Linked DNA regions of Arabidopsis thaliana. The protein of the gene in region 1 interacts with the protein of each later gene in a pairwise test. Each region holds a gene or a part of one and is shown in the gene's direction. Other genes may lie near its edges. The genes, in order: ETR2, AT5G05200 and AT5G63190.

What was found.
Region 2: the proteins of ETR2 (region 1) and AT5G05200 interact in a two-hybrid assay, tested with the Arabidopsis thaliana proteins (one study listed by BioGRID).
Region 3: the proteins of ETR2 (region 1) and AT5G63190 interact in a two-hybrid assay, tested with the Arabidopsis thaliana proteins (one study listed by BioGRID).

The regions. Positions count from the first base shown.
Region 1 is NC_003074.8:8,249,992-8,257,457, forward strand, and holds the start of ETR2 (Signal transduction histidine kinase, hybrid-type, ethylene sensor), read left to right. Parts: upstream 1-4,567; 5' UTR 4,568-5,033; intron 5,034-5,130; 5' UTR 5,131-5,164; coding exon 5,165-6,931; coding exon of another isoform or gene 6,932-6,979; exon of another isoform or gene 6,980-7,014; coding exon 7,015-7,466. Other genes in the region: URO (C2H2 and C2HC zinc fingers superfamily protein), read left to right, coding at 588-1,106; AT3G23145 (ATP binding / aminoacyl-tRNA ligase/ nucleotide binding protein), read left to right, coding at 2,147-2,209, 2,368-2,466, 2,650-2,835, 2,962-3,025, 3,141-3,205. UniProt on the Arabidopsis thaliana protein: Ethylene receptor related to bacterial two-component regulators. Acts as a redundant negative regulator of ethylene signaling.
Region 2 is NC_003076.8:1,543,144-1,550,609, reverse strand, and holds AT5G05200 (Protein kinase superfamily protein), read left to right. Parts: upstream 1-3,402; 5' UTR 3,403-3,527; coding exon 3,528-3,581; intron 3,582-3,708; coding exon 3,709-3,832; intron 3,833-4,004; coding exon 4,005-4,147; intron 4,148-4,220; coding exon 4,221-4,334; intron 4,335-4,513; coding exon 4,514-4,702; intron 4,703-4,787; coding exon 4,788-4,943; intron 4,944-5,013; coding exon 5,014-5,279; intron 5,280-5,374; coding exon 5,375-5,472; intron 5,473-5,632; coding exon 5,633-5,811; intron 5,812-5,966; coding exon 5,967-6,083; intron 6,084-6,221; coding exon 6,222-6,404; 3' UTR 6,405-6,603; downstream 6,604-7,466. Other genes in the region: AT5G05220 (uncharacterized protein), read right to left, coding at 1-337; AT5G05210 (Surfeit locus protein 6), read right to left, coding at 1,076-2,212, 2,389-2,412; AT5G05190 (hypothetical protein (DUF3133)), read right to left, coding at 6,735-7,466.
Region 3 is NC_003076.8:25,342,150-25,349,615, forward strand, and holds AT5G63190 (MA3 domain-containing protein), read left to right. Parts: upstream 1-3,392; 5' UTR 3,393-3,653; exon of another isoform or gene 3,654-3,662; intron 3,663-3,995; coding exon 3,996-4,212; intron 4,213-4,393; coding exon 4,394-4,491; intron 4,492-4,579; exon of another isoform or gene 4,580-4,620; coding exon 4,621-6,414; 3' UTR 6,415-6,651; downstream 6,652-7,466. Other genes in the region: AT5G63180 (Pectin lyase-like superfamily protein), read right to left, coding at 1-551, 780-964; AT5G63200 (tetratricopeptide repeat (TPR)-containing protein), read left to right, coding at 6,894-7,057, 7,381-7,466. UniProt on the Arabidopsis thaliana protein: Involved in target of rapamycin (TOR)-regulated translation control, especially under energy-deficient conditions.

The DNA.
Region 1 (7,466 bases):
ATATTTCACTAGCTCCTACTAGCCTTCCAATTTTTACAATTTTACTTTGCAATTTTTACTCTCGATCCAAACAAATAAGTACTTTTTTGTACTATATTCAAAGATGAACAACTTTATATTTTTCTTGAACAAAAATGAAATTGAATAGAGAGAAACTAGCTACCCTAACTAGTCACTCGAAACCTTATAAATAACACCTTCTGTAGTTTGTTTTCCTATGAAGAATATTTTTCAACTTTATCTATTATATTATCCTTTGTTAAACTTTCCCTGAAAATTGTTAGAAAATAAACTAATTAAAATAATTCTAAGCATGACGTTTTTGTAGTTATTAATTCATGTTACATTAGACGCACGAATTTAATTATAATACACACCCCCGTAATTAAGTACATTAAAGACCCTAAAGTATATATATTAACCATTGATAAAACAATTTAGCCCTAATTAGTGTCCGTTCACACACATAATCTTTCCTTTAGCTTATATATACGCTGGTGTGTGTTTTTAAGAAGCTTCATACACTCATTTTCAAAACATTGAATACTGAGACTTGAGAGAGATCCCAACAGAAGAAGAAGAGAGAGATGAACCACCGGGACAAACAAATTGATTCCGGCTCTGGCTCTGGAGAAAACCGCCGGACTTATGACTGCGACATCTGCAAGAGAGGTTTCACGAATCCTCAAGCCCTCGGTGGTCACAATAACATCCACCGCAGGGAACGCGAAAGATACCCCTCCTCCTCTTCTTCTTCTCACTCATTTCCATTTTCTCTTCCGTTACCATCTCAGTCTCCCTCCTCCTCCACAAACTTCACAAACCCTCCTCCTTATTTTCCGACCATTGAGTCATACCTACACCAAGGGTCTCAGCCACCTATTAACCCTAGCCACAACACACAATACTTTGGATCATCATCATCATCAAGAGGAGGAGGGAGATTTGCTCAAGGGGCGTCTCATGATCTTAATTTGAGCTTAGGGCTCGGATCCATGAATGAAGATGATGACACTCACCGGAGCCCACCAGAGACCGGAGGTTCTCAACCTCAAGATGGTGATCTTGATCTTGATCTTCGACTCGGCGGTCATCGTCATCATTAAGCTTGCAGCGGTTTCCCTCACGTTCGATCCACGTAACCATATACAATATATATATATAGTTGAAAGTTAATCACCGTATAGTGCATGATGTTTATTGTGGTGTTTATATATGTTTTCAATATATATGTAGTATGATCAAAATATGTTGGACTTGGAGTCATGTTTTTATCATGATCGTATGAAGTTTGGGTTTGTATAATTCAAGACTATATTTTTCACTTAAAAATTATAGATCAAATAGGTTAATTTGAGTAATGTTTTTGTTATACCTTTTTCAAAAAGAAAAAAAAATGTTCTTGTTGTCTGAAGTTGGGTTTGTATAGTACAGGATTATTGTTCTTTTCCATAACTATATATTAGTGTAGATCTATAGATCAAGTAGTTTTGCGTAATATGTTCTAATAATTAGTTACGTTGTATGAAATTTGGGTTTGTATAATCAAAGACTATCTATCATTCTCTTGTATAATATTTTACATGAATTTACATTTCAAGTGGGTTTGTATGAATTTACATTATAAAGTAAGTTTAAACTTATATTATGAATGAATTCGAACTGCAATGGGATAAACATTATATGCGTTTTAATAATAGGTTGGTGAAGTTTATAATTTACACCATTTGAAAAGCCTTCCAAATTTAGAAACTACATTTTTGCAGACCCATGTGAGCTCATATGAATCAATCATAGCCTTGATGTTGTAAAACAAATTATGATTATAAAAATGTGATAGTATATTACATGCATAAAAAATAAAGGAGAGTAAATGAAAGTCAAATCTGGGTTTTATGAACTGAAAGTTGAAGTTTAGAAGTAGAAGTAGCGATCAAAGTATGACCAGTTAAAAGGCCCAATATCATTTGGAGGTTTGATTTTTGGGTTCGTAAATTTCAAGAGCCAGATTATGATTTGCTGGGCTTAAAAATCATGGAAAAATTGAAATGACGGTGTTAAAATATATAACTCAAATTAAAGATTTTAATTGGGTGTAGTAGGCTGATTTTTTTATAAGAATCTTGTCTATAGATGCTTCAAGGTTATGCCTTATAGTACTGGTTGTAAAACACCACTATCTAATTTTGAAGCTGGTCAGAACTATAAGGTATGTTGTTGTTGGCCTTGTTGCTAATGAAGATTATAACATTCTGTTGTTGCATTTTTTTTTTTTTTTTTGTGTTAAATATATATATTTTTTTTGCATATTTATTGTTGCATATTGTGTTGCATATTTAGTAATGGTTACATTCCCTGTTATCGGAGATCCAAGATAATACGGCTCTTGTGGCATGGACTACTACTCCATGGATTCTTCCAAGTAATCTTGCTTTGTGTGTCAATGCAAAGTTTGTCTATCTTAAGGTTCGTCAACAACACTGGAAAAGTCTACATTGTTGCTGAATCTCGGTTGTCATCGCTTCCTAGTGATAAGCCTAAGGCCGGCTTAACTAATGGAACTTACTAGTGATACCATAATGCGAAAGGTGCTAATTAAGCTTGACAGTGAAGAGGATTCTTATCAAGTTTTGGAAAATTTTAATGGAGATTCCTTGGTTGGGAAGAAGTATGAACCTTTGTTTGATTACTTTTAGCGATTTCTCAAGTGTGACTTTTCGACTAGTAGCAGATGATTATGTCATGAATGATAGTGGTACTGGTATTGTCCATTGTGCTCCTGTCTTTGGTGCAGATGACTATCGTGTTTGTCTTGAGAACGAGATAATTAAGAAGGTTAGATTTGACAACATCTTCCTTATATCACCACCTTTAACATTAAGTTTATTTTCTTTCTTGTTTAAGTTTACAGTATCTTCAAGAACCCATGTTCATGACACATTTTGTTCATGTGTTGTTTAGATTGTCAGAGATTTCAAACGTCCAGATGGTTTGAAAGATACAGAGATTGATGCAGCTGTAGATAGTACATATCTTAATTAAAAATACCACTTCTCTATGCTCTATTGTTGAGGAAACATATAATATTTGCATTCGTTCATGGTTCAGATATGATGTTATGGTAATTCTTGATCTACGAGAAGATGAATCTTTGAAAAACGAAGGTGTTGCCCGTGAGGTAAATAAATGTAACCGAAGCGATTAATGGTCATATATAAGTTGTATATTTGATATATGGGTTTCCTTCTCATTGTGCTCATGCATTGAAAAGCACCCTGTTATGACTGTGGTTCTAGGAGAACATTTGCATTTGACAGTCGGTGACTAATTGTTAAGCAAGAAGAACGCATGAGAGCCTTTTAAAGTGTTTTCTTCTAGATCGTTGCAAAAAGTTAAATGTCTCTTGAGACTTTGTACTCATTCTATAGATAAAGATGGGATTTATTACAAAAACAACAAGAAACTTTGTTACTTGTGGAAATTCAAAATTATCCGAACTAGCTTCACAAAATATGCTCAAGAGTTTCAATGTATTTTTTTTTGTTCTGTAATTGTATGACTCCGTTTGAAGCATCAAGATTATGGTTATAGGTAGTGATGCTAAAACTCTCTGTTGTTACAGTGACCACTAAAAACACCAACAAAAAAAACTTAGGTAACGTGTCGTCTAAAAACTTCTAGGTTCAATTTCTTTAGATAGTACTATCAATAAATAAAATAAATATGTACAAAGGCTTTAAACAATGATGTTTTTCAAAGATGATTGGTAGATACTAATTAGAGCTTCAATATAAAAGAACACATGCGATTCTGACATTCTGTGGTCTAACATGGTTTCTTCTAGAGTCAAAACCATACAATTAAAAGTTAGGAAAGTAATAGCAATGTGGTTTCAAATATATACTCATTACTCTTTAGATTCATGTATGGTGAAGGAAACATTATAATAAAATCAAAGATCACAGTTTTGTAGGTCCCTCATATTAATCAACATCTTAAGGCGTTATACATATCTTCTTTTTGTAAATATTTGACTAATTAAAATATCTAATTAGAGTATTAGACTAATCTCATCAAATATCCGACTACTTGTGTCAGTTCAAAACACAGTGATTACGTTAGATTTTGTGCTCTTTTGTTTATAAACAAAGCTAATTTAAGAAATATATGATCTATTTGCCTCCTTGGTCTTAATTTTATACTTTCTTGGAATAAAACACATTTATTAAAATAATTTTTAGGTTCCTAGATTCATGTCATGTGGCTTGATAGTTTCCAACAATTATACCAATATTTTACTCATTCATATACAAATAAACAAGCTTTATTCTATTCTTCAGTCTCATGATATACGGGATTTTGATAAAATTCAGAGTACCCATTAATTATTCTATGTTACAGCTTGTAATAAGTTAAATTTATAAAACGTACAAGTTGAGGAAATAACAAATGTTTTCAATATTAAATGATTTATTAATACATTAGTGACCAAAAAATTATTAAGTGTAAGAAAAAAAACACAACTCAGAAAAAATTCAAAAGACCGTCTAAGTTCGGTTCATGTAAGAACAAGTGGGACCTCTTTAAGTTTCTAAATCAGAGAATAAAGAAGAAGAAAAAATCTCAAAACCTTCCTCTAAAACCAACGGCTCCTACCTTTACTTACACCCTATACATACACTTCTCTTTTTATCCTCCATCGGCGGCTTATGGCGGTTTTCCGGCACTAATCATCTCCGGCATATATAAATAAACGTACTTCACGTTTTTTTATATAACTTCAAAGTAGTTTCAGATTTGTCTCTATCTCTTCACTTTTAAGTCTTCTGGTTTTGTCATCACCAGCTTTTTTTGTTCTGTCTCTGTCTTTCTCTTTGTGTATTTTTATTCTCGTCATCGTTGTTCTTCTATGAGAGGAAGATCGGAATGTCGAAGAGAATTAGAAGATTCTCGTACATCACTTCGTTGGAATTTCACAGGTCGATGAGAGATCTGAGAACTGTTTCATTTTGATCCAAACTCATCTCTTTCAGGTATTCCAAATTTTTCTTTCTCTGTTCTTTCTACTATTACCCAAATTAAAGTTTTGATTTTTATTTCTCACTCTGTTTCTTGTTTTTCTAATTGCAGAGTATAATGGACTAAGCATTTTTTTTCTCCGAAGATGGTTAAAGAAATAGCTTCTTGGTTATTGATACTATCAATGGTGGTGTTTGTTTCTCCGGTTTTAGCTATAAACGGCGGTGGTTATCCACGATGTAACTGCGAAGACGAAGGAAACAGTTTCTGGAGTACAGAGAACATTCTAGAAACTCAAAGAGTAAGCGATTTCTTAATCGCAGTAGCTTATTTCTCAATCCCTATTGAGTTACTTTACTTCGTGAGTTGTTCCAATGTTCCATTCAAATGGGTTCTCTTTGAGTTTATCGCCTTCATTGTTCTTTGTGGTATGACTCATCTTCTTCATGGTTGGACTTACTCTGCTCATCCATTTAGATTAATGATGGCGTTTACTGTTTTCAAGATGTTGACTGCTTTAGTCTCTTGTGCTACTGCGATTACGCTTATTACTTTGATTCCTCTGCTTTTGAAAGTTAAAGTTAGAGAGTTTATGCTTAAGAAGAAAGCTCATGAGCTTGGTCGTGAAGTTGGTTTGATTTTGATTAAGAAAGAGACTGGCTTTCATGTTCGTATGCTTACTCAAGAGATTCGTAAGTCTTTGGATCGTCATACGATTCTTTATACTACTTTGGTTGAGCTTTCGAAGACTTTAGGGTTGCAGAATTGTGCGGTTTGGATGCCGAATGACGGTGGAACGGAGATGGATTTGACTCATGAGTTGAGAGGGAGAGGTGGTTATGGTGGTTGTTCTGTTTCTATGGAGGATTTGGATGTTGTTAGGATTAGGGAGAGTGATGAAGTGAATGTGTTGAGTGTTGACTCGTCCATTGCTCGAGCTAGTGGTGGTGGTGGGGATGTTAGTGAGATTGGTGCCGTGGCTGCTATTAGAATGCCGATGCTTCGTGTTTCGGATTTTAATGGAGAGCTAAGTTATGCGATACTTGTTTGTGTTTTACCGGGCGGGACGCCTCGGGATTGGACTTATCAGGAGATTGAGATTGTTAAAGTTGTGGCGGATCAAGTAACCGTTGCGTTAGATCATGCAGCGGTTCTTGAAGAGTCTCAGCTTATGAGGGAGAAGCTGGCGGAACAGAACAGGGCGTTGCAGATGGCGAAGAGAGACGCGTTGAGAGCGAGCCAAGCGAGGAATGCGTTTCAGAAAACGATGAGCGAAGGGATGAGGCGTCCTATGCATTCGATACTCGGTCTTTTGTCGATGATTCAGGACGAGAAGTTGAGTGACGAGCAGAAAATGATTGTTGATACGATGGTTAAAACAGGGAATGTTATGTCGAATTTGGTGGGGGACTCTATGGATGTGCCTGACGGTAGATTTGGTACGGAGATGAAACCATTTAGTCTGCATCGTACGATCCATGAAGCAGCTTGTATGGCGAGATGTTTGTGTCTATGCAATGGAATTAGGTTCTTGGTTGACGCGGAGAAGTCTCTACCTGATAATGTAGTAGGTGATGAAAGAAGGGTCTTTCAAGTGATACTTCATATAGTTGGTAGTTTAGTAAAGCCTAGAAAACGTCAAGAAGGATCTTCATTGATGTTTAAGGTTTTGAAAGAAAGAGGAAGCTTGGATAGGAGTGATCATAGATGGGCTGCTTGGAGATCACCGGCTTCTTCAGCAGATGGAGATGTGTATATAAGATTTGAAATGAATGTAGAGAATGATGATTCAAGTTCTCAATCATTTGCTTCTGTTTCCTCCAGAGATCAAGAAGTTGGTGATGTTAGATTCTCCGGCGGCTATGGGTTAGGACAAGATCTAAGCTTTGGTGTTTGTAAGAAAGTGGTGCAGGTGAGTTTCCTTACATATCTCTTTCTAAAGTTCCTGTCATTAGTCTGAGTTTCTGTTTAGGAGTTCTTTGATAATGTGTGCAGTTGATTCATGGGAATATCTCGGTGGTCCCTGGCTCGGATGGTTCACCGGAGACCATGTCGTTGCTCCTTCGGTTTCGACGTAGACCCTCCATATCTGTCCATGGATCCAGCGAGTCGCCAGCTCCTGACCACCACGCTCACCCACATTCGAATTCTCTGTTACGTGGCTTACAAGTTTTATTGGTAGACACCAACGATTCGAACCGGGCAGTTACACGTAAACTCTTAGAGAAACTCGGGTGCGATGTAACCGCGGTTTCCTCTGGATTCGATTGCCTTACCGCCATTGCTCCCGGCTCGTCCTCGCCTTCTACTTCGTTTCAAGTGGTGGTGCTTGATCTTCAAATGGCAGAGATGGACGGTTATGAAGTGGCCATGAGGATCAGGAGTCGATCTTGGCCGTTGATTGTGGCGACGACAGTGAGCTTGGATGAAGAAATGTGGGACAAGTG
Region 2 (7,466 bases), on another chromosome or scaffold:
TTCTATTGTAATCTCTAGGATCTCTCCCATCATCATTCCCCATAATAGCTTCTTTCTCAAGGCACTCCAAGAGCTCCCATACTCCTCTGTTTACTTCTCCACCACATATCCCTCTTCTCTGAGTCAATTCCTCCTCTTCCTCCGGCGTAATTGGCTCCATTGCCGCAGCATAATCCGATCCTGAAGCCACGCATCTAGCAGCAGCAACCCACCTCTCCTTCTTGACTTTAAGGCTCAGCTTTGTTTGTGGAATTGCCGTGACTGGAGATGAGGTTTTATATATCCTCTGAGATGGGTTGGTGATGATCTTTGTGCAGGTTTGAGAGATAGCTTCCATTGTTTTGTCTGGTAGAGTTTTGTTGGGTCTCTCGGTGGGTTTATATAAGGTTTGGGTAATGTGATCCATTGGCACACGTCATTCATCATACGTGTGGGAATGGCGATGAGTAAGAGAGTTTTCGAGATTCCCCAAGCTGGTTCTTGTGCCACGTGTCTCGAGACTCTTTCACCGACCTACTTTGACTCTCTTTTCGGCTTTATCCAAGCTTTTTGTTTAGCATAGTAAAGCTTACTGTTCTAAATCAGACACGTTTGTTTAGATCTAGAACTTTTCTGAAAGATATTTTCTGTAGTATGAACCAGGCCAAATCGGATCCAACAAAAGTTAATAATTCAAATCTACTCGGATTAGTTTGATTTCTCACATATGACTTCAGATCAAAGTAAATCTAAATGAACACAACTTGCATTGATTATCTAGCTTGAATTACCTAGTATTTGTAATCTCGCATTCAATATATGCTAATTTCTGTGACAAGTTTATCTAAAACCTGCCTGATAAGAGCATTCACTGTAAGGAACAACACATTGAGTAGCAAATGGAACATCTGAAAAGTCTACAAACTGCAAAGTAAAACGAACAAGAAGATAACAAATATTGCTAGGGACTTGACTAGATGAAAATTCCCAAAATATGTTTTTCGATTTCAGATGTGCAAAAACCCTCTTCACAGCCTTTGTGAGGATCACATCGTTGAAATGTTGGAACACAAAAGGCGTGTGGAAGACTTGAATTCTAGTTTCCACCTTCATTGATAAACCCTTCTTTGCGGCCTTCAAAGCCAGGACGCAGGAGCTTTTTCTCTCTCTTGGCGATTTTGCGCATCTTATTCTGTTCAATCCTATCGGCAATATTCCCTGATCTCTTTTGCTGCTTCTCCACCTTGAACTTTTGTTGCCCTTCAATTCTCTCTTTCCACTTCTCTGCGTTCTTCTCTTGCCTCTTTTTGTCTTTGTGGATGCTTTGCTTCAATAGCTTTGGGTCATCATGAACCTTGATACCAGCTGCTCTGCTTGTAGCTGCCTTCCATGAGTGCTTCTTTGCAATTACATCACCTTTTTCTGGATCCTTCTTTGCAGCCTCTAACTTCATAGCCCTTTCAAGTTCTCTTGCCTTTGAAAGCCTTCGTTTCTTTTTCTCTTTTCCGTGTTCTTCATCGTCATCAATCTTGACATAACCAAATGTAAGGTCCTTAGCAGCCTCCTCCACATCCAACTTACCCTTACCTTTATCTGCTGACTTAATCTCCTCCACAGTCTTCTCCTCAGAAACTGTATCCCTCTTTCTCTTATTTGGCAGATTCTTCTTCCTTCTTTCATTGCTTCTTGGTCTATCTGAACCTCCACGACCACCTTTGAGCTCATCAATTTTGCGGTGGAGGCGTTCCCTTAGCTCTTCGTACGTAACAGATCGATCATCCTTTTGTCTGTTATTATCTGTTTCCTCCTTACTGTCATCATCATTTAGTCTGTTGTTATCTGTTTCCTTCTTACTGTCATCATCAGGAAGCTCAGTACCTGATTTTTCCTGCTCTAGCTTCTGCTCCCGTAAATCCGCGTGTTTCTTCTTAAGCTTCTGCTTCTGTGAAGCCAATCTTTCCTTCTCTATCTTCTCCTTCAGTAAATCGAGAGTCGTCAAAGCAGACTTCTCTGGGTCCAACTTATCTCTCTTCGCCTTCTTTAGGTTGTCATTTGTTTTTTTCTTGGCTCTAGCTTTTTGAGCCTTGCTAAGACCTGGATACCATTTCCTTTCTGTCTCATCAGGTAAGTAGAATCTAGCAGGCGTGAGCTCTATCAACTTATCGAAAAATTCAGTATGCTGATGAGTCTTGAAATCCATTTCAGAAACATGTTTACCCTTTTTCTTTGTCATCTACAACAATAACCAAAACCAATCACAATCAGAAAAAAGCCCTTTTGGAGAAATGACAAATAATAAACTAAGGACTCATAGTCCAAGTTTCATAAAAACTATAGAATCAAGACTTACAATGGCAGATTAACAAAATATTAGATGATAAAAAGTTAACAGTGGAAATCAAAACTTACATCAGTCCCACGAGTTTTAGTCATTGCTCTCCACAGAGGAGATTAGTCCAAAAGTCGTAAACCTCAAGACAATCTGCAGCAATAAAACAAGGATATATTAGTAACTGTGAAAGACTACAGATATCATAAGACATGTATTTCGATATACATTATACATAGCTATAACTAAGCTGGTACAAATACATTCAGAATTTCCTGCATCTTGTCAGAATCGAGCAAGTCACTGAATCACATCAAGTGACACCAAGTTTACTCGTTTGCTAGATAGATACAGAACTAAAGAAGATGACTTTGTAGACACCATTAATCCATAAAAACAAAATTCCAAGTTGTGTAATTGAGCAAATATCCTTATTCATTATCCAGAAGAGAAACAGAAACCTTAGTATAATACAACAAGTTTCCCCAGTATAACAAGCTCAGGATGAATAAAGAGGATAAGAAGCAAACATAAACAAGCCAAAGAAACAAATCTTATCCTACAAAGAATAGAAGAACCCTAAAGCAAACAAGGATGAATCGTAGAAACAAATAAAAGTTGAAGTTTCTACATATCAGTTCAGGAATCATTATAACTCAGAACTCATTATCTTAAGTGATAAACAATTCTGACTCTATAATCAATTTTTTTAAGCTACAAGCACAAACCCAGATGGAAAGAGAGCGAATTGATGGAATAAAAGAAAGACAATCGAAGGAAAATCTCACCGGTAGCGACGATGGCGAATCAACGGCGTTGAGAGAAGAAAAAAGACAGAGAGACGAAGATGAAGAGGTTCCGTGAAAGTGGTTAGGGTTTGAATGGTTTTGTTATTTCTCAATTTTTATAAGGGTATTTATGTAAAACCGCGTTATCTCAACTTCTCCTCCAGCGTCGCAAAAACGGTTCGGTTTAATGGGATTTAAAAGAGGTTAACCGGAAATCGAATCGTACCGAGAGTTTTTCACGAATATGTTGTGACTTGTGAGGAGGAAAACAACCACTTACACGTTTCCACGTGGCATATTCCCCTTCACTCCGCCTCAGGATATTTTCAATTTTCAAAATATACAAAACGGTGTCGCTTTTCTGTGCGTTTTGTGAGTAATAAAGCTTGACCGGAGTGTCTTGTCTCTGCTGCTTCAATCGCCGGCGAACGATGGCGGTCTCAGCTTTCCGTGGCACGCGGTTACCGTTATTTCACCATTCTCAGGTTTACTTGTTTTCTCTTCTCTTTCCTTCAGTAAAGTCGTTTCCTTGATCTGCTCTTTATGGCTTAGCTACCAAAATTTGCAAAGGTCCTTTACTCGCTGCTCAATCTCGATAGCTTCATTTTTCAGTTTCCCGTCGCGAGAACTGTGTCAGGAACGTCTAAGAAGATGATCGGAGCCAGGAATTTCAAGGGTTTTGTTCTTACAGCCCAGTATTCGCAAACTCAGGACCTTTTCACTTCTCGTCTTCAAAGTACAGAAATTTCCTTCTTCTTGTAAACTCAATCTCATTGTATACATCTATGATTCTGAATTGTATCTCGTTAGGGTATTCTTTGTTGCTTATTGGATTTATTTTGTAAAAATCTACATATTGGATGACAGTTTATTGATCCATTTACTTGTTTACATGGCTTTTGATGCAGGCCAGATAGAGAAATTGCCCAAATTGGTTGAGGATATAGTTCAGACATCGATAAACACAGGTCCACGAGGTGTGACACGCCTTGTCCAAGGTGTTCAAGCCTTTGTAGGGGTTGGAGGAGAGTGGCTAAATGATTTATCTAAGGTGGCTGAAATTATCTTTTTGCTTATGATGTCAAACTATCTTTGATTGCTAACTACTCTCTCACTCGCTGCAGTCTACAAGCGCGTCTGGTGGATTACCAAGTGAATTGCAGCTTGGTCTACTGTCTCCTCTATATTTGAGGAAACTCTTTGAACGCATGGGAGCTACTTACATTAAGCTGGGCCAGGTAAATCATGTTGCTAAATGTAGAGCATATTGTATCCTCTGATGATATCATGTAAATATCTAGAACCATGTGAACTGTGTATGTCTAAAGTAAGCTTAGTTATCATATTTTGTTGCTTCTCTATATATTTCCTATTCTATCCATTTAACAATACTTGTAATGTATCTTTGAATTTGTAGTTTATAGCATCTGCGCCAACTTTGTTCCCACCAGAATATGTCAAAGAATTTCAGAACTGCTTTGACAAAGCTCCTCCTGTGCCATTTGAAGAAATTCGTAAAATCTTGCAAGAGGAGCTTGGGAGACCCATTGAAAGTGTATACGAATATGTTGACCCTACGCCAATTGCATCAGCCTCAATAGCACAAGTGTGTTCTTCTACTTGTACTTCAATGATCAAAATTCATTTTGTTCATGTACTCTTCTTCTGCTTAAGGGAATCATCATGACCAGGTCCATGGTGCAAGGCTTCGAGGCTCCCAAGAGGATGTTGTGATTAAAGTCTTGAAGCCTGGGATAGAAGATTTCTTAGTGGCAGATTTGAACTTTATCTACGTTGTTTCCCGTATATTTGAGTTCCTTAGTCCTGAGTTTAGCCGTACTTCACTGGTAATCTCCTCTGTATTTGATTTGCAGTCGCTCTTAAGATACTCTCTAAACAATATTATCCTATGGATAGGTTGGAATTGTCAAAGATATTCGTGAGTCAATGCTTGAAGAAGTAGATTTCAATAAGGAGGCTCAAAACATTGAGTCATTTAAGAGATATCTTGAAACCATGGGGTTGACAGGGCAAGCTACTGCTCCAAGAGTATATAAGTACTGCAGCAGCCGGCGGGTACTTACAATGGAGAGGCTATATGGAGTTCCTCTGACTGATCTGGACTCTATAAGATCACTTGTTTCCAGTCCCGAAAACAGCCTTATTACCGCGCTTAATGTGTGGTAAGATCTTTGAAATTCAATATTATGATTAAGATTGTTCTCCCTCCTAAATGTAGCTGTTAGTAAAATGAATCTTCATGTGATGTAACTTGCAGGTTTGGAAGCTTACTTGCTTGTGAAAGCTTCCATGCTGATGTACATGCAGGAAACTTATGGCTGTTGCGTGATGGCCGGATTGGGTTTCTTGATTTTGGTAAATCATACTCTCTCAAGCCTAATTAGTGCAACATTTCTTGCCTACTTACCTCTGACTCATCTATTAATACAGAAAAATGCAGTCTTTTTCCATAAATACTCTTCCTTTTTATTGGTAATTTTTTGTGTATTCAAGTAAGTATCCACATTTTTTTCAGGCATTGTTGGTCGGATATCCCCCAAAACATGGGCTGCTATGGAAGTATTTTTAGCGTCTATTGCAACTGAAGAATATGAATCCATGGCCTCAGCTTTGATTCAAATGGGCGCCACAAACAGAGATGTTGATGGCAAAGCTTTTGCAAAAGACTTGGAAAAGATGTTCTCATCTATCCAGGCAAGAAATTTTACTCTTTACTGACTATGATGGCTCTCTGTAACCAGCTACATCTGTTCAGAGGAACCAGCTTGATTTGCTTTCCGAACTGTAGTGCAAAACAACTACAACAACTTTGGCTAATCTTATAGAGAAAAGTGAATCTCTTCTTGCAGGAACTAGATACAGAGATAGTAGTGGCTACAGCTCGTGGAACAAATTCAGACACTACTGCTGTTGCTGCTAACGTAGTTATGGATGAGAGACAGATGAATGCTCTTTTCCTCGACCTGGTAAGCAGTTAGACGTAATTTCTTAAGGATTTTTTTTTGGTTTGAAAGTTGTTAAGAGGATATAGAAGTTGCATTGAGTTAAGATAAACCCCAGGATTTGAGCTTTCAGCAGTTGAAAATAAGTTCACTTTCTTATAGGTGCGTGTTAGCGAATCATATGGTCTTAAGTTCCCGAGAGAGTTTGCACTTCTGTTGAAGCAACTTCTGTACTTCGATCGATACACAAGACTATTAGCCCCAAACCTGAACATGCTGCAGGATCAGCGGATCTCTATCGCGTCCAACAAGAGGACGAATGGATACAAGGACAGCTTCAACTAAGTTTATGCAAATATACTTCACTAAACCTATTCAAACTTTTTATTTATTTACAAGTGGTAATGTTATAGTAGATTATCAAGCCAAGAACGATGATGAATTCAATCTTGTTACAAACATATCATGACTATATACAACAGATGAACTATATCTTCTTCTATTTTTTTGTATAATTTTTCACAAGTGTCATGGTTTCTACTTTAAACAAAAGTGCAGAGACAAATCTTTTACCTATACACAGAAGTGAAATAAAGAATGGCAAACAATGGCAAAACTTTCCATCTCAGATTCTCAGAAGTTCATAGTTCTCGTTGCTTCATCTGAAGCAGAGATCTATATAGAAGGAGGACGCTGTGAAACTTTAAAGACTTGGCTTACAGTAGAATATCCCATTAGTCGGTGAAGCGGAGAGCCTCTAGCCACAGGTAGCTCCTCATCCTGAACAGAGGATCTCAGCTTTTCAGGTTTGGAGGGAGCTTTGTCTATGGGAGACTCTGATGTTGAATTGCTATTCCTATTAGCATTTATGTCATGTGTTACTGCAGGAACTAAATGATTTCTGGACTGAAGTGAGAATCTGAGAACAGTGGTGCAAGTGCCGCATCTGAGAAGATGATGTTTCCTCTTGAAAATGAGAAAGTCTACAGGAAGCTGCAGGTTTTCTGAGCAACTGTAACAGCTAACAAAAGGTGCCCCACCAGCTGTTGGACGGACATGACGCTTGGCCACACGTTGTCTCTCTCTTAGACGACGGGTCTGTAACTCATGGTGGTGGCCAGCATGTCTATTACGCTGATGATCCTCCACGTCTGAGACTATCTCACGCCTCCATCTCGGATGATACTCAGGTTGTTCCATTGGTCTCTGTGGACTTGCAGAATATGAACTGTAAGAATTATGAAGCTGACCTGAATACCAACCGCCATGGTTTCTTCCCATTTCACCTGAGATCCTACTTCCTTGGCCCTGACCTCTTGCCCTTGGGTTGTTGTGATACATATAGTCAACAAAATCGTGGTTCATGCCTCCAGCGTATGAAGGCATTTGAAGTGAGTGTGCACGGGG
Region 3 (7,466 bases), on another chromosome or scaffold:
AGCAATGATCAACCCACACGTGGCTTCCACCGAATATTGACACACCGTCACCGTCGGATACCGTTCTATATCCGTAATGCTCTGGTGAGTCACGTACGTAAGTATTCCCACCTTGCTTGCAGTCATGTATGTGTAAACCATGGATGATGATGTTGGTTACATATTGTATGGTTATACATGGCCCACCGGAGATGTGTACGGAGGCTCCTCGTCCGTCTAGGGTTTTGAAAGAATTCATGATGAGTTCTTCTTTTAGTTGGATCGTCATGTCTCGCTTAAAAATGATCCATAGCGGTTCATCTTGAATGACTGCGTATCTTAGTGTTCCCGGTCTAGGGTTTACTGGATCATCGTTTCCTGGATCCGTGACCACATAGATTTCACCATCACGACCGCCAATAGCGTTCTTGCCAAAACCGATACCACAGTCTGCTAACCGTTTTCGGTTTTTCTCCCAATCCTTGTCGCATCGCCAACAATCATCGATTGGATTACCACTCCCGCACGAGAAGAACCCTAGCTTCCTTCTTGATATGGACTCGTTTATTTTTCTAATGCATTAACCAACAGACAATATATTAGCATTAATTAATCTTGACGTACGTAATTAGGCGTACTCATAAGTCATAGCTATTAATGCAGCAATAGTAACAAGTGAGTTTGTGATCAAGATCAAAATTAGCCTTGGATAGAAAGAACTTGGAAGCAATATCTAATACCAAACATTTGACTATTTGAGTGTATGTAAAATGCTTTTACATTTTTGTTAGAACATATACCTGTGTACTTCCTCGACAACAAGCTCAGGGTCGGAAACGGGCAAAGACGAAGCGAGAGCGGAGAACAAAATGCAGCAGAAAAAGATAAGTGCGAAGGATAGATATGAAGAATTTAGCATTGTGTTTCTTTGGCTTTTTGTTGTTGATAAATTTGAAGGTATTAAAAGAGAATTGGGACGAAACATATGAGTGAAGAGAGAAAGACAAAGCAAAGCGATAGACTATATAGCATATGAACACTTCGGGTGATTTATTGCGCATGCAACTTGACGTTAATTGGACCCACCTTGCTTAACCTTTTTCCTCTTCTTGTGAAATTATTTTGGTGTGTGAGAATGGAATCAACCCAAGTCATTTTAGAGAAGAAGAAATAATGCAAAATGTTTCCTAAGATTCAAATTTCATGATACCTGATAAAAAGTGTTTGGCTGAACTAAAAAGTGTTGTTCAGAAATGTAATTCTGATCAAGCTAAACGGAGCTGGTTATGATTTAAAAACGGAAGGAGTAATATCAGCCATCATTACAAATATAATTGGCTCAACAGTTCTAATAATTAAGATTATCAAACCGATAGCACTTAATACTGTATTCAACATTCAGGTAACGCTAGGAATGAGTCACGTGGCTTAAAGAAAAAAAACACAGAACTCGTAATTAAAATCTCAACGAACTTAAAGCTGAATGTTGGTGAAACACTAAGTACGGTGCACCAAAAGTCAACACTGTGTTAGTAATGTACTTTAGTACTAATATTTAATATTACGGTTTAATTTTTGTACCTTTATCATTACTTTTACGTTTTAACGGTTGAATATTATCAATAGCATAGCAGTTAGCTCAATTTAACTGATTTTTTTTTTTTCCTTTTTTTTTTTTTTTGTTAAAGCTCATATAGTAAAGTATTACATTTCGAGATACTTTAGTGTTTCTGCTATCTACTAAACCATATTTTGATAACTAAACGTATATGGATTGTAATTGTAAGAATACGATATTTGATACACTTTGAATTGTTTGATAAGTTGGTTTTAGAGTGTTTGTTATTATTATTATCTTTATACAAAATGAATTTCTTTTGGTGTCTCAAAGAGATATTGCTTGCAGGAAAAGAGAAAAGAATAGACCCACCAAAAGCAATAGAATAGGAGAACTGAGCCGACACTGGCCCATAGAGGTTTGATTTTGGGACCACCGAACCATGTGCTCGAGTCCAATCTTTCAATAAATTCTACACATATAATTTTCTTAAATTCATATAACGTTTTTAGAATAGTAGTGTATTCATTCATATCTAACAATCAGACCCTATGTTGAAATTTTGGCTGGTACAAAATGTGTTGACAATCAATGCACATGGGAAGTATTTGCATCATCACTCTATATCCTCCTCCTCCTCCACACTTTAAAAAGAACAATGTCTTTAAAAACTTAATCAACTATTCGATTACAAGTCTCGCCGACATTTTTCTTTTTGCTAGAGCCATTCATGTTGATGAATTTTCACTTCGGGCAAAAATATGGATCATGAGTTTAAGTCTAGTTTTTTTTTTTTAAATTACTGTTAGTAGCAAATTATTTTATACATTAAGCAAATTGTGTATTCTGGTACATAAACTGCAGAAAACAATTAAATGACATTTCTCACTACATTTTAGACAGTTTTGGACATTCATTCGATTAGTAAATGATTTCGTTCTCGTACGTGATGAAACACGAGAACCGATCGACATTAATGTTCCTTTTTCAGAATATTCTCAACGCTCAAAAGCTAATCTATATACATTTTTCACTACTTTTTACATGATTCATAGAATACAAAAATAATTGAACGCATTTGAATAAGTAACTAAATATAGAGTATGATAATATCTAATTCAACCATTTTAATTATTGACTACATTGGCTTATCAAACTGAAACTTGATCATTTGGATAAGCAAACTTAACAAATTAATGTTTTGAACAAATGCTCAACTTTACAAGTTTTTTTTGTCTTCTATACGAAATCAATTCAAGTTTCATGACATTGTCTTGTGAAAAAAAAACAAGAAAAAATGTAGAGAATTGACCTTTCTATAAAGAAATAGAGTCGTTAGATTGGATTTAAGGTGGTAGATATAAAGAAAACCGTCGGATCAGAAAATAGAGACAAAAGGGCATGTGACCGGTTTTTGCTTGAAAACTACTTGCTAACTTCTTCTCTACTCATTTATCAGTGTTATAATTTTTTTGTTTTTTTTATACACATAGTACGTTCACTAAAATAACAATTTAAAATGAATATTGATATAATTTAGTCATAATAATTTGAAAAATATAAAATACAATATCCATATCTGTTTTAAAACTATAAACATGATGGCCATGATCTAATAATATGATTCCATGAAGCATAAAACTTTTATTAACGTAGTCAACCATTGGATATTGTCCAGCCCAAAATATCTAATTCAATGGGCCGAACCTACCCAATACAGCCCATTGTTTTGGATTAAAATCTTTAAAAAAATTGGAGGCTAAATTAAAAAAAGAAGGAAATATTCTAAGCCCTCCACGTATTACGTTGATGACGTGTACCATCGTATATAAACAAATGCACAAAACTTTATTATATTGTTGTAAAGTAGTACTTTTATTGGCGATCCTCATCCATTTCCTCTCTCGTCGTTGTCTGGGAATCGGTGACTTTTGAATCTTTGCGACTCTCTTGTAGTGATAAATTGATCGTTATCTACTTTGATACTCTCCGGTCGTTTTTCTCCGGTGCTGGAGATCCGATTCCTTATCTTTTCTGTCTTGGCTCGAGATCCGAGCCAAGCAGTAAAGAAGACGACTTTGTTTCACGATTTGGAATTTGATTCCTGCGATCACAGGTATGACAGGTTAGATTTTGTTTTGTATAGTTGTATACATACTTCTTTGTGATGTTTTGTTTACTTAATCGAATTTTTGGAGTGTTTTAAGGTCTCTCGTTTAGAAATCGTGGAAAATATCACTGTGTGTGTGTTCTTATGATTCACAGTGTTTATGGGTTTCATGTTCTTTGTTTTATCATTGAATGGGAAGAAATTTCGTTGGGATACAAATTTCTCATGTTCTTACTGATCGTTATTAGGAGTTTGGGGAAAAAGGAAGAGTTTTTTTGGTTGGTTCGAGTGATTATGAGGTTATTTCTGTATTTGATTTATGAGTTAATGGTCGTTTTAATGTTGTAGATGGCATCGGGTGAGGGAATTTTGACGGATGGACAGTGGAAAAAGCTTGAAATAGCAACTCATAATTCTGGAAGTTTGTCATCATCGCCTAAATCTCATACTCTCTTTGCTGATCTGAACATTAAGTCTCCCACTGGTGGCAAAGGACCAGTTGCTGGGATTCCTAATAGGCATGTGCGACGTACTCACTCAGGGAAGCATATTCGTGTTAAGAAGGGTATTAAACTTTCTTCAACCTTTTGTGCTTGTTATTTGGCTAATAGATCCTTTTAGGGAGTGATATGACTCTTTATTAGTTCCTTTCAAATTTGCTTTAGTGAAAAGACTTAAGTTTTCAGTAGAAGAGTTCAAGTGTGTAGGTGATATATGGTTTACTTATGTGGCAATGATATCTGCAGAGGGTGCTGGTGGCAAAGGAACTTGGGGAAAGCTTCTTGACACTGATGATGGTGACTCCTGTATTGATAAGAATGATCCCAATTACGATAGTGGAGAGGTACTTTCATATTTGCGCCTTTTGTTTTGTGTTGGATACTTTTCCTTGTTTCTTTAGTGTATCTAACATCCCTTGATTTTATCTTTTATTAGTAGTTTGCTTTTTTCATTCATATACTCAATTTAACAGGACGCATATGATGGACTTGTTGATTCACCGGTATCAGACCCGTTGAATGATTACAAAAAGTCAGTAGTTTCCATCATTGACGAATACTTTAGCACCGGGGATGTGAAAGTGGCGGCATCTGACCTCAGGGAACTTGGTTCAAGCGAATATCATCCTTACTTCACCAAGCGACTTGTTTCTATGGCCATGGACAGACACGATAAGGAGAAGGAAATGGCTTCAGTGCTACTCTCTGCATTGTATGCTGATGTTATTTTACCTGATCAAATTAGGGATGGATTTATAAGACTTCTCAGATCTGTTGATGACCTTGCGGTGGACATCCTTGATGCTGTTAATGTCCTTGCATTGTTTATTGCACGGGCCATCGTTGACGAAATTCTCCCTCCGGTTTTTCTGGTTAGATCTAAGAAGATTCTTCCAGAATCTTGCAAAGGGTTTCAGGTTATTGTAACTGCAGAAAAGAGCTATCTCTCAGCTCCTCACCATGCAGAACTAGTGGAGAAGAAATGGGGAGGTAGTACTCACACTACAGTAGAAGAAACGAAGAAAAAGATATCTGAAATCTTGAAGGAATACGTGGAAAACGGAGACACTTACGAAGCTTGTAGATGCATCAGGGAATTAGGTGTCTCGTTTTTCCATCATGAGGTTGTGAAGAGGGCTTTGGTTCTGGCGATGGATTCTCCAACCGCTGAGTCACTTGTACTAAAGCTGTTGAAGGAAACTGCTGAAGAAGGACTGATCAGTTCGAGTCAAATGGTGAAGGGATTCTTCCGAGTAGCAGAGAGTCTCGATGACCTTGCTCTAGATATCCCATCTGCCAAAAAGCTGTTTGATTCGATAGTTCCAAAGGCTATTTCTGGAGGCTGGCTCGATGATTCATTTAAGATAACCTCTGATCAAGATGGAGAAAAATCGAGTCAAGACGGAAAGCTAAGACAGTACAAGAAGGATACAGTGAACATAATTCAGGAATATTTCTTATCAGATGACATTCCTGAGCTAATCCGCAGTCTTCAAGATTTAGGGGCACCTGAATATAACCCGGTGTTTCTGAAGAGGCTCATAACTCTTGCTCTAGACAGGAAAAACAGAGAAAAGGAAATGGCTTCGGTTCTTCTTTCTGCTCTTCACATGGAGCTATTCTCAACTGAAGATTTCATAAACGGTTTCATTATGCTCCTGGAATCGGCAGAAGACACAGCTTTAGATATCATGGACGCATCAAACGAACTTGCTCTGTTTTTAGCTAGAGCTGTGATTGACGACGTCTTAGCTCCACTTAACCTTGAAGATATCTCAACCAAGCTGCCTCCAAAATCAACCGGAACCGAAACAGTCCGCTCAGCCAGGTCTCTTATCTCCGCCAGACACGCAGGAGAGAGACTCCTAAGAAGCTGGGGAGGTGGAACCGGCTGGATAGTGGAAGATGCAAAGGACAAAATCTCGAAACTCCTAGAAGAATACGAAACAGGAGGAGTAACATCAGAAGCTTGTCAATGTATCCGCGATCTAGGGATGCCTTTTTTCAACCACGAAGTAGTGAAGAAAGCTTTGGTGATGGCAATGGAGAAGCAGAATGATCGGTTACTGAATCTGCTTGAGGAGTGTTTTGGTGAAGGATTGATTACAACTAACCAAATGACGAAAGGGTTTGGTCGTGTTAACGACAGCCTCGATGACTTGTCGCTTGATATACCGAACGCGAAAGAGAAGTTTGAGCTGTATGCTAGTCATGCCATGGACAATGGTTGGATCCTTCCCGAGTTTGGGATTTCTGCAACTCAGTGATTAGTGGTTCTCTTATCAGTTTCTTGTGTTTGTGCTTACGATACTTTCCTCACTATCTACATATATGTATGGATTCAGTTAGTAGATAAACATGAGATGTTTATATGTTCATGTGTTTCTGTCTGGTTGTTGTGTTTTGTCTTTGTACTGATATCTTTTAGTGTGTTCTAATTTCTGATGGATTTTTGTTACATTGAAAATAAGTTATTAGCATGGTTAATTTGTGTTAACTTATTACTCTTGTGATATTTTATGAAAATTATTTATAAATATAGAAAATATGGTAATTAAATTATAAAAAGATAAATAAAAATATATTTGTTCGGTCGGTGAGATAATTATGACTCCGGTTCCGGGATAGAGCAAACAAAAGGATAGACCAATACTCGTTGCCAAACAGCTTTATCCTCGTTTTTATATTTGTTTTGATTCTTTCTTCTTCTGCTCAACTTTACTGTCCGGCGTACTCAGCACCATCAATGGACCGCCCGGAGACGATCGCCGTCAAATGCGAACCCATGACCGTTGACTCTCCTTCTCGACCTCTAAAGCTTGTAGTTTTAGCTGACCTTAATTTCAATCCTCCTGAGACTGATGATCTTGACTCATCCATTCCAATCCCTACTCCTCCTCCCATCACTAGGTACTTCTACATACGTAGTTGTGTGTGTTTCAGCTAATTAACCTATTTCTTTCTGTTGCTTTCGACTAACTTTCTTTTGCTGAGATTTTTTTTTCCTCTGTTCGGAAGAAACATATGTTTGAAGTGACATTTTTGTTACGGGGTTGAATATATTGATGTCTTCTTATGCCGCAAAATCTAAAAATCGAGACTTTGGATATCTTTCAGCAAGAGTCTAAAAATGGGGAATTTTTTTTTTGATAAGTAGAGTTTGATTCTTACTGCTTTGGGGGATAGGAGAAGCTTCATGATTCTTAACTTAAATACATTTTTGTGTGTTTTAGGTTGAGTAACGAGGAAAGTCATCAAGAGGGAGGTATATTAACATGCAAGGAGGTGGAACCAGGAGAAGTAGAAGCCAAAAAGATCA